4 linked regions of the Drosophila melanogaster genome follow. The protein of the gene in region 4 interacts with the protein of the main gene of each other region in a pairwise test. Each region holds a gene or a part of one and is shown on either strand. Other genes may lie near its edges.

Region 1 (4,535 bases), on a different chromosome or scaffold from region 4:
ATGCACTTCCTGTACGTAGCGGATGACCACGACCACACCGCCATGATCATCTCGATTGTATTTTTCTCGGCCGTCACCTTGGAGGTGTTTGTAATCTGCTATTTTGGGGACAGGATGCGGACACAGAGCGAGGCGCTGTGCGATGCCTTCTACGATTGCAACTGGATAGAACAGCTGCCCAAGTTCAAGCGCGAACTGCTCTTCACCCTGGCCAGGACGCAGCGGCCTTCTCTTATCTACGCAGGCAACTACATCGCACTCTCGCTGGAGACCTTCGAGCAGGCAAGGCACAATTATATATTCAAATGTCCTTTGATTTGATTCAAATATGATATGATTCACTTGATTCCAGGTCATGAGGTTCACATACTCTGTTTTCACACTCTTGCTGAGGGCCAAGTAAGAACTTTATAATCTCTTTTTGGGGAGAAAAATTTTAAAGCACAATAGCAGAAAAATATATCAGATAATATAACAAAAAAAAAGATCATTATAGTTTTTTATTTAAGTGGTTTATTACTAAGGTATCCAAAAATAAAGCGAAAAATCTGCAATTTCAGATATTTAGCTTTGTTCAAAAGCAACGATTTTTAGGCGGAAGTGAATCAGTCACCGCTATCCGTCGTATCCGCTGGGGCAGCATCAGCTGCAGGTTCTGGCTCAGATGCAATAGCTGTAGCGGGCGGGTCGTCCACCGTGTTGTCTTTTTGTGTCTTCCACATCTTAGCTGCAGCCAGCAACTTGAGATTGGGTCGAGCCATTTCGTCCTCGGGAAAGATGTAGTCGAATACCTCCTCCCAACCTTCCTCGACGCCATTGTCCGAGACGATCTTTTGCCGCTTCTTGATGCGCCGCGGCATCTTGTCCATTACCTTTTGCATCTCCTGCGAATCGGAGGCGTCGCGTTCAAAGTCGCGCCATGCCTCTAGCAACAGAACACGCGACTCCTTGTCTCCCAGCTGACGCAACATCTCGTTGGCTCGCTCATAGATTCTCCTTGCCAGCTGCACGTTCAGCTCCGCATCTGGCCCGCTGTCGCCGTGGCTGAGGCCCATCTCGAACTTGGCAAACGACATCCACACTTTCACATGCTGCGTCCGCTCAAGGAGTCGCTCGTAAAGCTGTCTGGCTAGCTCTGTTTCGCCTAGGGCTACCTCGAAGTCGATGTACGCCTTCCACAGCAGCTCTGGCATGTCCAGGCGCGGCTGCTGCACCGCCAGCTCGAAAATGGCTCTCGCCCGGTCCGTGTCGCCCAACAGATTCTCCAGCTCGGCAAACTTCATCCAAGTGACACAATTCTCCGGTCCAAACTCCAGGAACTTCTCGTACAGCATGCGGCAGCGCTCGAACTCACGCAACTGAATCTCCAGATCAATATAGCCTCTGAAGAGCTTATCTCTGGGACACATGCCGATGGCCAAGCCCAGAGCTTTGCGTGCTCGCTGCAGCTCCTTGCAGCGGATCTCGAATTGGGCGTACAGCAGCCAAAGCTTGCTGAAGGTGAACTGCTTGTGAGGTATTAGCTCCAGACAGGTCTTGTAGATCTGCCGCGTGCGTTCCGCGTCCTCCGCTTCAAGCTCCTCGTACAAAGCATAATTGATCCAAAGGTAAATGTAGCGTCGCCAGAAGTTCTTTTCATTGGCAGGCGGCACGTTGGAAATGGCCCGTTCGTACGTCTCACGGATCTGATCCCGATCGCCCTCAGCCTCAATCAAGCGCAAATAGTCGAACCAGGCATCGTAGTTGGTGGGATTGGCGGCCACCTCCTGCTCGTACTGGTACTTGCGCTTGGAAACAATCACATCCTCAATACCCGCTCTGTCGCCGTACTTTTTCTCGTGTTTCGTATAGGCCTTGAACAGCTCCTGTGTGCGATCTTTAGGTAGGTGATCTAAAGCGTACTTGTAGATGATGCGCGCCCTGTCGTGCTCCTTTTGACCCTCCTCGAAACGTGCAAAGGCGATGAACAGGCGCTCCTCGATGTAGTCGTCACCAAAGAACTCCACAGCGCGCTCAAATACCCGCCGAGAGCCGTGGATAAACCCATGAGACTCCTCAAAGCGGGCGAACTTTATCCAGTTCTTCACGTCCGGGTGCACATAGACAAATCGCTCGTAGATCTCCCGTGCCCGGTCGATCTCCTTGTAGCGCAGCTCGAAGTTGACGTAGGTCTGCCAGGCCTGCTCCTCCGGTTGCCACTCCATCCAGCGCTCGAACACCTGTCGCGCCCCTGCCACATTCTCCAGCATCTCCTCCATGTAGGTGTACTTGTACCAGAACTGGTTGACTCGCGGCATGATGGTCACTGCCCGATCCCACAGATTGCGAGCATGATTCACCTGCTTGTTCTTCATCTCCATCTCGGCGTATTTCAGCCAGAGGGTCACGTTCCGGTGCTCATTGTCCAACGCCCGCTCCCAGATAGAGCGCGCCCGCTGGATCTCCTGCTGCTGCTCCTCCCACTGAGCATATTTGATCCAATGGCTGACTACCATGCGGTTCTTGCGGAGATTGTCCTCGAAGGTCTTTCGCTTCCGCTGCTGATAGTCTGCCAACTCGGCGGGATCGGAGATCTTCTGCTTTGGCGGCGGCGGCAGAATCTCCAGATCTCGCTCCTTGGCCTCACGGAGCAACTGCTCCGCCGTAATTTGCACCTCCGCCGGCGCTTTGTTTTTGACCTGGTGAAATTTTGGATTGGATAAGTTGGTTTGGTGGATTGCCGACGATGGCACATACCTTGGCCACCTTGGGCATCTTCTGTGGCCGCTCCATGCTGTGCGATTCGGGGTCCCTCACTTAGCAATGTTATGTTGGAAAAACGCTAAATCGCAACAAAATAAATAATGCCACTAACAACGTCGTGCGATAACGATAGGCATATTTCGATAGTTCGCTATCGATAATCGCTTTTTGTCTCCACTGGCCTTTTGCGCATTCTACTTTTGAATGTGTGTTTCAATTAAATCCCTTTTTTTGTTGTATTTCCATAAATATATACTAGTATAATAATTGTACATTGTTGGGTTAAAAATAAAACGGATAACGCATTTTTTACTTATTTATTTTTGAGCAATTTCAACACAAATTTAAAAAAAAAATGGATATTTAAGAGATGAAAAGCCACAGGAACTGTTTATCCCAATACACTTGAAACACTTTTAACCGTCTTCAGTTGAAGGAGACTCCTTGCTACCGTGGAAGATGTTCTAGGTAATCATTTGAAAAATCTCCACGAACTCTCGTTCCGCTTCTCCGGCTTCACCACCACCCAGTGATCGGGGTCCATCAGATAGTCGCTACAAAAGGCAACGAGGCGTTACTGAATAACTATAACATGCAGATCGAAACCCACCGATGCTCAACCAAGGCCTTTTGGGTATGGGTCCGCAGTGCTTCTAAGGACCCGGCTCCTCCGCCGTACTCCTCCGGCAGCATCTCCCGCGGCACGAACTCGTACAGCGTATTTATGCTTTGCGTGTGGAAACGGATCTAAAGTGTAGAAAGTAATGGTGAGATGAAGCTATTAGAGACATAATGGCTTCTCAAGAAACCCACCAGCTTGAAGACCTCGTCGCTGATGAACGGCTTCACCACGCTGACGATCCGATCCAGGTAAGTTGGACAGTTAATCATGTGAATGGCGCGCAGGCGCACCGGAAATGCCAGCTGGAGGAACTTGATGTAGGCGCGCAGCGTGCTGATCGTCAGCCGCGAAATGTGCCGCATTGTGGTGCCCTTCATGTCGAATATCTGCACCTCTCCTTCGGACAGGACATCCGGTTTGGCGAGATCGTCCGGCGTCACGAACCGGCAGTCGCTGACCATAAAGAAGGCGCGCGTGTCCTCCGTGTGGTGCATCTGGGGATAGCAATCGGCGGTATGGAGCGCAAGTTCCTACAGCAAAGAGAAGCTATTACTCACCTTGGAGGCCTCGAACTCCCGAAAGCAGTACAGCGACACCTTGCATTTGTCCGGCGTTAGGCCAGGCAGCGGTAGAATGTCTCTGAAATTCGAGTGTTGGGGTATACGGGTATGTATGTTTTTGGAACATGGCCCTGCCTCAAAGGAAAGGGAATCTTTTCTCCCAATAAGGACACACTTACGCGTAGTCAAAGGTGCGCTTGCTGTCCGCGTCTAGAGGATCCCTCTTGATAAACAGGTGAGGGTGCCGGTTGCGCAGGGCGTAGTTCACCTCGATGAGCTTCCGAGTCTCCTCCACGTCTCCAAACATGCACTGGTAGAAGCGCCGGAGCAGCAGCGGATCTGTTAATACACATATGGTACGATACAATGAAGTTTTTGCTAAGGAGTTAAGCCCATGGAACTTTGCACATTACGGGAATATTAATTAATTCAAACATCGTGTTGGACATATTGAATTGGGAAGTGCGGTTCGATTTAGGGAGACTTGCCTGTACATTCACTGTTTGTATACAATTGACTACAGTGACGTAAGGCGGCGAGCGGAGCGGCCTACTAACGACCTAATTAATGGACGGTGGGTGGTGGGAGGTGGAATGGGACTGATGGGCAGT
Region 2 (3,706 bases), on a different chromosome or scaffold from region 4:
ACTTATTGGTCATTTGTTTCTCTCAGTGTGAGCTGCAAATCATCCGGATAGGGGTCAAGGAACCGGGTGGGGCTATAGGACACGCCGGCTACCAATTCCAGTTTTAGTTATTTAGGTTGTTGCCTTTGCCGTTGTTTATGCTGCTATTAAATTTAATTGAAATCAAAATTCGGCCCACATTTATGAAGAGTTTATGCTGCACATATGTGGAATGTGATCGGTGGGTCGGGGGGCCAAAAGGTTGAGGTAGGACAGGGTCCGAGTGAACGTGTTCCGTGAGTCCAGGAGTTGGGCAGCTAAAGGGTTCAGTTCAGCCGGATCTTGAACTTTAGGTGTCGCGAGTTTAGTTATGATTATATTCAAATAAAGATACAAATGTTAAAACTAGAAATTATAAAGAAATTTGTTGATTGAAGAATAATTTTAGAAAGAATACTTAGAAAGAATATATTTCGAACAAATATTGTGTTACCAAAATGAATTTGCTAAAAATTTCTTTATATTATCCCATTACCACTTCAAAAGAAACGTTGCAGACTGATTGACAATTTTTTAATTTAAATTCGAAATTCTTAAATAATGAACCAAATCGTGCGAATTCAGCTGCCATTCAATAGTAAAATCCGGGGGTGTAGTACCTGGGAATGGTGTAGCCGTAGACCGGAGCAGGAACCACGACATGGTGGCTGCGAGCCACAGCAACTGGAATCTTGGCCAGCACCTGGTTGCGCACGCCTTCATCGTGGACGCGTTGAAGATGAAGCGACTTGGCCGCAGCCACTTCTGCGGTATCAGAAACGGGATGAGGCAATTGGGAGTGGCCACCATGGGATCCGGATGGGTCTGAGCCAGAAACCGGGTGCTCGTGGTGTTCGATAGAATGGGGCACCTCTGGATGAGCACTTCGACCGCTCTCAACGACAGTGTGATGATGAGGAACCTCAACGGGATGGTTGCCAACAGGATGCTGAGCTACAGCAACGGGGTGCTCATGGTGCTCGACGGGATGATGTCCATCTGGATGAGCACTTCGGCCGGTTTCGACAACAGTGTGATGATGTGGAACTTCCACGGGATGATGGCCAACAGGATGCTGAGCTACAGCAACGCGGTGCTCGTGGTGCTCGACGGGATGATGTCCATCTGGATGAGCACTTCGTCCGCTTTCAACAACAGTGTGATGATGTGGAACTTCAATGGGATGGTGGCCAACAGGATGCTGAACTACAGCATGCGACACCTCCGCGTGATGCTCAACATGGTGGTCTACTGGATGCGACGCGCTCCTGGGACTAAATTCTAGCGACTCCTGGGGAACTTTAGCCTTTGGCAGATTAGTGGCTGCCACATGGAAACCTTTGTTGTCGGCCACATAGTTAACCGTTTGCAGCTTTCCCGCCGCATCCCGGTAACTATAGTATCCTTGGGTGATTCCGTCTAGGGTGCGGGTCTCCTGTTTGCTGGACAATGGTTCCGAATAGCCATAGGAGTACTGACCCAACTCATCCTTGGCGATATACTGGCGCTGGGTGGGCGTGAACACGGCGGATCCCTCGGCAGTGTACGCATAGGGATAGTACAAGGCCAGTCCGTGGGCCAAGCTGAGGCTTCCTAACAGCAGAAGTGGATACTTCATGGTTGGGCAGTGGAAGATTGCTTCGAGTGAGTCTTGTTCGTCAGTTCACTGGTAACTGTTGATTCTGAGCCTAGGTCTTCATCCTTTTATACCCAGCAGGTTCTTTCGCGAGTTCTAGGTTCTGGTTCTGGCTGAGGTTCCTGCCGGTCAGATGCTTCTATTCTGATACACTGCGAAAAAATTCTAAAAGTATGCCATATTATTATCTAAGAGAGTATACAAATGTTTTATGCTCTTTTACCCTAATATAGTAACGTGATTTTTATGACTTAAATTAAATCCAAAAATAAGTAGTTCGTAATTTGTTTAATAATGATTTGTACAAAGCTTAAAACATAAATTTAAATGCATATAAATAATAATATTGCTAAAAAAGACTGTTCTTAAATTCCTGAAATTTTAATTTTATGATTATGACAATCATTAAAAAAATATTTTATTATTGATAAAAAAGGTGGTTTATTGTACTTAAATAGAATTCATCAAATTTGTACAAGCACACGTATTTCATTAAAGAATAACCTAATAGTAATAATATCTGTCACATTTTAAAATAGTAAACAGCCAATTAATTTTTTCTCCAAATGTATCCATCAGATGCACTTCAATGCAAACGAGGAGATGCGAATGCGTCGTCGTGTCCACTTGTGTCGTTAACGGACATTGCAGCTCCGCCTTTCACTCCCCTTTTGGGGATCGACGCCTCGTGAAGGCGTTGTCAATTTGGTTTAATTGTGGCCAAGGCTGGAGTGGGCCCAAATGAGGGAGGCAGACCCTGGTTCTCCGCAGCGGGAGGAGCAATCGCTGCCTGGCATCTCCATCTGCATCTGCATCTGGATCTGCAAGCGAGCCAAGGGCCTTGGCTGGGTGGACCATCAAGGCCAAAGACCGCATCCAGACCAGCGTGTAATTGATATGCAATCGTTGTTGCTGCCACAGCATTGTGGCATCTCAGCCTCCTTTTTGTTCGCACACTGCAACGGGGCCACGACAACAACAGCAACTTCAACTGCAACAGCAAATGCAACAACTGTGGCAACAACCGACGACGACAACAACGGCATCTCAAGGTGAGTGAAGGCCAAGGGCCACATTTGGCCACAGCTTGGACACGGGAGTCATGCACTCCAGTGGCGAACAAAATGGGGGTCTTAGGGGGGTCATAAGTACCCTTAAAAATTATAATACTTGGTTAGATACATATGTATGTACATAAGAAATATATGTTTTATGCGAAGAGCTTACAAATATGACACAGAAAAGGGTTAATTAAATCGTTAAGTCCGCTAAATAAATAATATAATGTGAATTTTTAGACACCTTATAGTATACACTGAAGATATATACTTATTTCAACCGGACACTAAGAAAACCCCCTAAGAATATGTTTCCCATCCGCCTCTGATGCACTGCAGCTGCATTGGTATCTCCTGTTCCTCCTTCGCTGGTCATTTTTATTTTTAGCAGCGGGCTTATCGGATGCCTCAGATCTCTGGTGCTTAAACTTCGCTCCCGATTAGGAGGAGGAGGAGGAGCAACTGCAAGAACCACATTGGATTGGCCTTGACGGCTCGGCTGATAAGTGCGTTTTAATGTTAGCCCCGTTGGCACTCAGTTTCAATCAAAGCCCAATTCTCTACAACCATTCCAGCCTGGCTTAATGAGCTGGTTAGTTCTGGCCTGGAATTGAAGTTGGATTGGCAATATAGTCCGGTCCACTTGGTTCACTCCCTTTGTTCTGTCTCGAGTGGACTGTGCCCTGATTTGTGTACCACCATTGGTTCTTTGAACTGCCTTCGTGGCTAATTAAAGGTGCACTTAAGATAGGCCAGGTGGCAAGAATCATGTTTTTCATTTTTCAGGACTGGGAGTACTTTGATTTTATGTCCTAGAAAAAAAGAGCAAACGAATCAGTCTAAAAGGTATTTCAGCTGTAAAACATTCCATAAATATAGGAAATTTAACTCTTTCTAATTTTAATTAAAGAATATTCTAAACGTCATCTGGTCAATAAACTAAATGAATATTGTAGAATGAAATATTTAAATTACATATCAAACATTGTATATT
Region 3 (3,854 bases), on a different chromosome or scaffold from region 4:
GCCAACGGAAAATGCTGCTCACCTACCAAATGGAGGTGCGTCGGCGCAAGAGCGAGGTCATCACTAAGTTACAGGAGTCTGAGCAGCGACGCAAAATTCTGGAGATGGAGAAGGACATGGACCTGCTGATGCACAGTATTGAGCGTGAGCGTCGGCGTCACAACCAAGAAATGCAGCTGGCCGAAGATGAAATTCGTAACCAGGAGATGGAGCTCCTTGCCCAGCGCTACTACTCGGATACGGAGGGTGCTCCACTGGCACAGAAGTATTACGACAAAATCCAGAAACTTTGCTATCAGCGTGATCAGCTGCAGAAAAACTTGCGTGATGTATGTGATAAAAGATTTTAGATTGTATTCTGTGATCTCCTAAGTCTACTTTCTTCCGAACAGATGACCATGGAACAGCTGCGAACTCCAGCAACATCATCTGTGCAATTTAGTCCCCAGCTGGTGGATATCGAGAATTCCATTTTTGAGATACAGAGAGAGTTTACGGAAATCATAACCACAGACAAAACATTGGAGTACAGAAGGAATTTAACTTAACTGAGGCTTTTTTGTACGAATAAACTACAAGGCTAGGATTATGTACATGGCACTAGAAAATAAATAAACAAGGCATATTGGTTATTTCTTGGCCGCGCTTGCGTTGCTGGCGGACGAAGGCACTAACACGTTGGGCACATTGATGAGCAAGTGTATACTGGATGGTGGAATCCGCAGCTGGTCGGCCACCACTATAAACGAAAATAAATTAACTTAACTTCAGGAATGGTTTATTAAAGCTTACCGCCAGCTAAGCTGCTGTGACTCCTGTGCTGCTGCAGTTCCTTTTCTAATCTGGAAATTCTTTCGTGCAGTTCTTGATTCTCCTGCTGCAGCTGGGCGTTCTGTTTGATGAGGTCCTTATGCTCGTTTCGCATCTTGTTACGGTAACGAGAGGCTGCTGCTCTTCGTCGCTCCATACAATCCTCGTCCCGACTGCGATCCTTTGCTTTCGCAGCCTTGGGCGGTGTGGAGAAACTTCGTCTGTTATTATTGCTGTGGATAATGGCCTTCAATCGCTCCTTGATGGGCAGCTGTGAGGTGGGCGTCAGACTGGCGCTACTGGGCTCGTTATTAGGTGGGTTGCAACTGACCAAAATAGGCTCGGGTCTTTTACTGGTCTTGTTTAATTCTTTCGCAGTGGGTTTCGGCAGTATGAAGGGATGAATGGCACCAGTCGGCTTCACCCTGTTTCTGTTACAATCAACTGTAGCGATGGAAATGGGAACTGACTGCGCAGGCAGCACCCATGTTAGGACCTGGGGCTGGATCAACTGCAGCGGCGGCGGACCATCTTGACTGGCTTTGGAAGGCGAGGTAACTGTCGTGGCCAGAAGCTGGTCCACATCCATATCGCCGCAGCTGACACTTTGTGGGACCTGATTTTCAGACGGAACTGATACCACGGTGGGGGCCTCGACGGGATACACCTGGGGCGTGTGCAGGGACTCACCGTCATTGGGTCGAGCCTCTGGGCGACTCGGAGTGCCGCTGACATTTCGCTCCGCTGCTTGCTGGAATCCAATGTCAAATGGATTTACGTGCTGCAGGTCCTCGAAGAGACCCACCTCGTCGCAGTTCTTGATGAGTCGCGTAGGCGTGGGCGTTTGGTCGGCGGCAAATAGAGTGTCTGACTTCTGCCCGAGAGAAATGTCTAGCGAAACATGTTCCGTCTGTGCCCGAAAGTTCTGATAGCAGGATACGTCGCCCTCTGGGGATTTTGTCTCAAAGTCGCCGAAGGACACACTGGCCAGGTGATCCATGTCTCCGGCGGTGTCCATGTCAGAAGTTACATCAAAATCATGCTATTTACAAATCAAACTCCATAATCTGCCGACAATTCTCAATTAAAACAACTATTTTGTAAATCACATTAGCAAAACAAAAAATAAAATTGTTATCGATGTATGGATGTGTTATTGAACCTATCGGACTCCATTAAGAAACCAACTCTGGCTGCAGTGCTGGAAAAGGTACTAAGTTCTTCTGCCGTAATTACGATGTAAAATGTATTTTATTACTGGTAGAACAAAGATCATAACGTAGAACTTAAAATAAATCAAATAAATACTGAATAATCTTCATTGTGTAACAAAATAAGTAAAGGAATTTTCAAACCTCGATATAATGTATATTTTATATGTTGTTTACCTTAGCACAGTAGTGATGTGTGCAAACCGATATATCGATACCGCGAGTGGGTGCAAAAAAGGCGCGCGAATGTTTTCAATTTGAATCTGGTTACCAATAAATACTGTGTGTAAAAAATACCCCTCTGTCATGAGACCCTTATTATTCCTAGCCTTTCTGTGTTTGAAGCTGTTATGCAACCACTCTTGACATTCGGCATTTCCGCAACGAAATTGCGTATCTGCCATCGCATCCAAAATGCCAAAATGCGAGTCTTCGGCACGTAGAAGCAATCATATGTGAAGAAGAGGAAGGTAAAGCGAAGAAAAAACATCGAAACATTTTTGGTAGCCAAGAAAACCCCATAATTTAAAATTTGTATCTTTTAAATTAGATTTCTCATTGGAGGAACAAGCAGAAAACAGACAGCGGACAAAACAACACGCAAAATGATTTCAAGCCGCTCGCATTTTGGGAAATATGCACGCAACGAAACGAGCAATTTTCTAAAACTCTGCCGCACAAAAAGCAGCAGACTCGACTTGTGGGTCAAGTTCAGTGCTTAAATTGTTCCCAGCGAGAAGATGGAGGACCCCTTCCGGCCCTCGTCCTCGTTGTTCACCACCACTCCAATCCGCTCCGTTTGCGAGGAGGAAGGGCCGCAAGATGCACAGCATGAAAATTAAGAAAAAGTGATGCGTAATTACAGTCATTCTCTTTCACTGCAGCCAAGCGGGCTATTCCACACAGCCATACCCTTGGCCATGTCCCGATCTCGATCCCATCCCATCCCATTCCATCCCATCCCTGCCACGTTGCATGCAACGGACGCGCGTTTTTCGGACAGCGTGGTCCATGGTCCATGGAGCTATGGGATGGAGATGGGTTCCGATCCTCGGCTCTGGATTCTCGTTTCTCGGACTGCGCTGCTGCCGGTAGAAACAATCAGTTTGAAGTTCGTTCGCATAATTATGGGCAATTTTCAAAGAACATGCGTTCCGATGAACATCTCTCTCTTGCCCGCATTCAAAGTATCCATACCCATCAGCTCCTTTTCCTGCCCCACCGCCACATCCTTTCCATCATCGCACTGCAACCTCGCCATTTTTCTTACTGTCCGTCGGTCTCTGTGGTTAGGATCAAGTGGCTGAGTGCACAAAATTTTTTTCCAAACTTGGAATAGCTTGCGATCAGGCTAAAGTAAAGCTTGAGAACAAATGTTTGAATAAGTTCCATAAGAACTTGAATTTTATTTGAAAAATATGTAATATAAAGGTATAGCAGTCCTCATAGTGATACATTGGTATTTAAGACTTGACCAGATTAACCATTCCATTTTAGCAAAGACACGTTTGGCATGACCCTAGCGTTGGTTACCAACTTGATGATCAGGTTTCTGGCCCTAGGAAATTTGCAAAGGAGTCAAGGACCGCAATTGGCCATAACGGCATGTGCGGCCTACAGGATCCGGCTGGTATCCAGCTCAGAGGATCACACTGTCCTTTCATAAATATTCAAAAACGGAGTTCCTCGAACGCCCAACATTTGTTTTCCCCTGCTGCAAGTTGGCTTTCCCGCTGCCATTTGGACACTTTGTTGGTTTGCCATTTCCCCAGCGGCAGTTTTGCATATAATTTATTAAGTTTGGCTGCCTCATTTGGGGTTCCTCCGGGAGAC
Region 4 (4,304 bases):
TGCGCCATTTCGCATATATAATAAATCAACGTAAACCGAAAAAAAAAAAACACGAAATGAAGAAAGAAATGGAAGAGTGAAATAAGCTGAGCGGAGTTTATTTTAGGTTTAACGATTTGGAAATAACGCCACAAAACAGGACGACAAATTATTTGGCCATCATCTGCAGAACTTTCGCATGGCATTGGCAGATTGGCGAGAGGGTCTGAAAACTTATTAATTTTCACAAAGTCAGCCACACGCAAAGAGCACGCGCACACACACACATACACAAAATTGTGAAAAACTGTGACGTTATGCACATGAGTGAGCAAATAGCAGCAGCCACATCAGCAACCAAAATGCATAGCATACTTTGCTGGGCAATAAGTATTTGAGTTTTTGAAGGGACGCACTATAAGCTGGATTTTTTTTATTTTTTTTTTATTTAATTGACTAGCTGTTATGTTATTAATTTTGGCCACAAAAAGGTACCATTCAGACTATAGTGGAATGGCTGTGAAATGAAATGGTAACATGGTGAGAAAAGATGTTAAAAATATAACAAAGCAACAATAAATATTTGTACGTACTTATTTATTGCCTGTTTTTTGATTTACAAATATTTAAAAAAAATCTTATTTTTTTCTTATTAGCCCTCGAGCAAACGTTTATACTCGATCAGAATTTGCTCCTCCTGATCCAAGGGCAAGTTTAAGTAGTGGTTGTTGTTCTCGGCGAGGTTCTCGTTGAATCTCTTGAAGGCATTGTAAGACTCAATCTCCGACTTGGCCTCGCTAAGGACAGTCTGGAGCAAGTTCACCTTGCTGTTGGATAAGTTTACGAGTGGGGTGGTGCTATTTGCAGTCGCATTAGTTGAGCTCGTAGGTTCTTGAACCTCCAAAACTTTTGTCATGGTTTCAATAACATGAAGTAATTCCGATTCGTTGGGGAAACTTTTCAATAGAAATTTCAGAGATTTATGGAAACTGTTGCCCGTAGTTTCCAAAGCATCTCGAGCGGAAATCTCCGAAAATCCAAGGTGCTGTAGAGTAGTAAGTAACGATTCATCGACAGGAGGAATGGGCGGCAGATTGGCCCTAAGTTCATCTGAATGACGCTGCAGTAGATCCAAACTGCGATCGAGATTATTTTTGGTCCTCTTCAGAGCCTCCACAACCAAACGCCTTTCGTAGCCCATTTCCATGAGCCTAATAATGCTGCGTGGATTGACCCATTCTCCTCCTTGACCGGCGAAAATCATCTCTTGGTTGACTTGCCTCTCGGCAGCCGAGTTCTTTCGCTCCTCACTGATTCTCTCGCTGCGTTCCTGGATATATTGAATGGCCCTATCCACTTGGCCCGCACAGGATCTCAAGGCCAACCTGGCATCCGATTCCTCATAGCCCATTTCAACGAGAGTGCTTAGCTCAGTGTCATTCATCTTGACCTCATACAAGTCCTTTGTCGCCACCTCCAGTTTTTCGTAGGCCTCATCCCGGCGATTTTGGTGAAAGAGGAGCACACCTTGGAGCAGGTGCAGTCTCATGATCAAAGCTCTTTCCGGGCTACTTGGACCCTTAATCGAGAACAATCGAATGAACTGCTCGCCATAGCTCTTGACAAAGCCCCTCTCGCAAATATCCAAACGTCGCTGTGCATCTGGCAGTTGGGTGATGTTCTTCAGGCGCAGATAGCACCAAACAATATCTAGATTGATTAAGGCATAGTTATCCACTCCTTCCAGGAGCTTTGAGTCACATTGGGAGAAGAGTTCATCGGCCTCGAGTAGGATGAGTAGAGCCTCATCGAAGTTCTCCTTATGCATGGCAACTCTGGCCACTTCGTACATGCTCATGGCCATCAATAGGGATCGATTTTCCTCGCGTGGCAAGAAAATTGGACGTCCATCCTGATCCTCCATTTCCATAAAGCGATCTGCATCCGCAACTAACTCCAAGTCCGCACGAATCCTTTGGATACGTTCGTGCAACTCCTGACCTTCATTAGTTCCACCCACAACCACCATGAGGTGCTGATTGGTTTTGAGCCCCTGCGAGGCCAGTGTCTTCTGCCCATTGATGATGCGTCCTCCGGAGATGCATTTCACATGACTGGAATCAACGATATCCAACTTCTTGGCCACCTCAGCTTGCAGATCCGAGCCCAGTCCACCCAGCGAACACTTGATCTCCAGCATTTGCACGGTGCCACCCTTGCTGTCCACACACCGCACATTGAACGTGGCCAATCCGGTGTCATTGAACTCTCGGCGAGCCGCCAGCTTCCGCAAGGCACCATCTTGCAATTCGCCCAAGGCAATTCTGCAGTCCGACACACTGATGCCCAGTTCGCCACTGATGTCCCTGGCCAGGCGGTCCATCTCCGACTCGATGCTGCCCACCTCCTCGAAGTAGTACGGCTCCTCCCACAACTTGATATCACGCTCCCGCAGACGAGCTCGCAGCTTAATGAATATATTGTTTATCTGGGACATGTTTCGTGCTGTCGTGCCCGAATCGAACTAAATAATTTCTAAATTTATGACGAACATTTTCAACTCTGACAGTGCTCTTTCAGTGTTACCTTAACATCTGTTTTTGCTAAATGCTAAAAAATGCTAAATTATTATAAATTCAGAGACGTAAGTTAAATCCCTTTAATTGCAATTTATAATTAATTACAATTAATTTTCCATATCAGTATAAAGCTGTTCAAGAACCCTCTCTAGATACCGATTGTATTTATTAACGAATCTTAATCGAATCGCTTCAGTTCGGCTCATAGTTGGAAATTGAAGTTATCTTATCATAATGAAACAAAATTTATTTTCAATCAAATCACTATATTATTGTTCATAGGTTGTTGGGAACAAAGGCTCGAGAATTGAAATCTAATCTGCTGTAAGCTTAAGAGTTTTTTATTTTTTAATAATAATATATTTACATAGACTCGATGCAGACATCAATGTTGGGCAGAAAAGAGTTAAAGGACGCTGTAACTTTATTGGTGGCATTTACGAAGCAGGAACTGGTATCGGCTGGCAATTTGGCAATCAGTTTTAGGGTTTTATTGATCTTTCGGGTCAGCCTCATGGATGCCTTGAACAATTTCCAGAAGCATTTGGCCGAGTTTTTGATGGACGAGCCCACGGACTTATCCGTGGCACAAAGTTTCGAATGCAGATGCAAAATATCGTCGCAGATTTTGATAATCTCCTTAACGGAGTCCACAATCTTGGCCACATCCTTGGGAATGGCAGTGCCACAGGCATCAATAGCATCCACATAGCTGGTGCATGAACTAAGGATGTTTGTCACCTCCTTGATAATACAGTTGGTGCCTCGAACCGTTTTCAATGCCTTGCGAAGGATTTTAAGGCATGTTCTAATAAAGCCCTGTGCCTCCACATCCATGTAGTCAGTGTCATTGTCCAGTTCATCCAGCAACTGCTCCAATTCCGATTCAAAGTCGAAATCATAGTCGAAGTTCTCGTTCTCCAGCAATTCTATTGCATTGGCCTGAAACAAAGAAATATTTATTATATTTAAGTTAATTTTTTTTTAATTGGCAAATCTTACCCGCGTGGTCAGCAGACAGGTGGCCGAAACCAGAACCAAAAGGCAAACGGTGATGGCTTTCATTTTACTGTCCAATTAATAATATTTTCTCGGCCAGTAGTGAAGATCAGTTTATATACCCGCTGAAAACTACGTCTTATCAGAAATTAATCGAATTGCCCACTCCAACTATCTAATACCTTTTTTTTATACGGCTATCATCTAGAAATGTGTAATCAATCTACCTACCTCAAAAGTACTTATATGTATCTATCTATCAGCACTTATCAGCCACTTAAGATACTTAAAATATACATTTTCGATCGGTTAATTTTCATATTGCTCAATTGAAGTGTTTTAAATGAATACAAATCTGAAATGATTAATTAATTTTCCCATTTAAATGCAAACGAAATGTACGCTCTAAAAATGTCGAATATTTTTCTTGTGGCAATTATCACACAATATCCGTTGATGTCAGTGCGAAATTCACTTGGGCACCCTTAAGAATCGAGGCTCAGAACGAATTAAAAGCCATAAACCGCAGACAAAGAGGAAAAGAACCACAATTGAATGGTGGCTGCCACCAGATTTTCCGGGCACAATAGACGGCAAAAGGAAAAAAATTTGTTGCCATTGTCAGCTTAACGCGCTCGGTTCACTTTGTTCGGGTTATAAATGGTAACGTGTGGTTAAGGGTTAATAACTCCCACTAGGGGTGTGTGGAAAATAAGACACTGCCACCAGGTCCAAGACATTTCCAAC

What was found.
Region 1: the proteins of CG5111 (region 4) and crn interact in a two-hybrid assay, tested with the Drosophila melanogaster proteins (one large-scale study listed by BioGRID).
Region 2: the proteins of CG5111 (region 4) and Cpr72Ea interact in a two-hybrid assay, tested with the Drosophila melanogaster proteins (one large-scale study listed by BioGRID).
Region 3: the proteins of CG5111 (region 4) and Atf-2 interact in a two-hybrid assay, tested with the Drosophila melanogaster proteins (one large-scale study listed by BioGRID).

What each region holds. Positions count from the first base shown.
Region 1 is NC_004354.4:2,247,092-2,251,626, forward strand, and holds crn (crooked neck), read right to left. Parts: upstream 2,893-4,535; 5' UTR 2,773-2,892; coding exon 2,737-2,772; intron 2,679-2,736; coding exon 606-2,678; 3' UTR 503-605; downstream 1-502. Other genes in the region: Or2a (odorant receptor 2a), read left to right, coding at 1-282, 353-403; CG3191 (uncharacterized protein), read right to left, coding at 3,215-3,296, 3,353-3,489, 3,556-3,858, 3,922-4,003, 4,104-4,263. UniProt on the Drosophila melanogaster protein: May be involved in pre-mRNA splicing process. Involved in embryonic neurogenesis and cell rearrangement during Malpighian tubule morphogenesis.
Region 2 is NT_037436.4:16,360,580-16,364,285, reverse strand, and holds Cpr72Ea (cuticular protein 72Ea), read right to left. Parts: upstream 1,684-3,706; 5' UTR 1,637-1,683; coding exon 611-1,636; 3' UTR 536-610; downstream 1-535.
Region 3 is NT_033778.4:24,868,184-24,872,037, reverse strand, and holds Atf-2 (activating transcription factor-2), read right to left. Parts: upstream 1,931-3,854; 5' UTR 1,829-1,930; coding exon 793-1,828; intron 740-792; coding exon 630-739; 3' UTR 549-629; downstream 1-548. Other genes in the region: CG16896 (uncharacterized protein), read left to right, coding at 1-329, 393-548.
Region 4 is NT_033777.3:25,504,536-25,508,839, reverse strand, and holds CG5111 (uncharacterized protein), read right to left. Parts: upstream 2,566-4,304; 5' UTR 2,477-2,565; coding exon 632-2,476; 3' UTR 561-631; downstream 1-560. Other genes in the region: CG5107 (uncharacterized protein), read right to left, coding at 2,922-3,500, 3,561-3,623.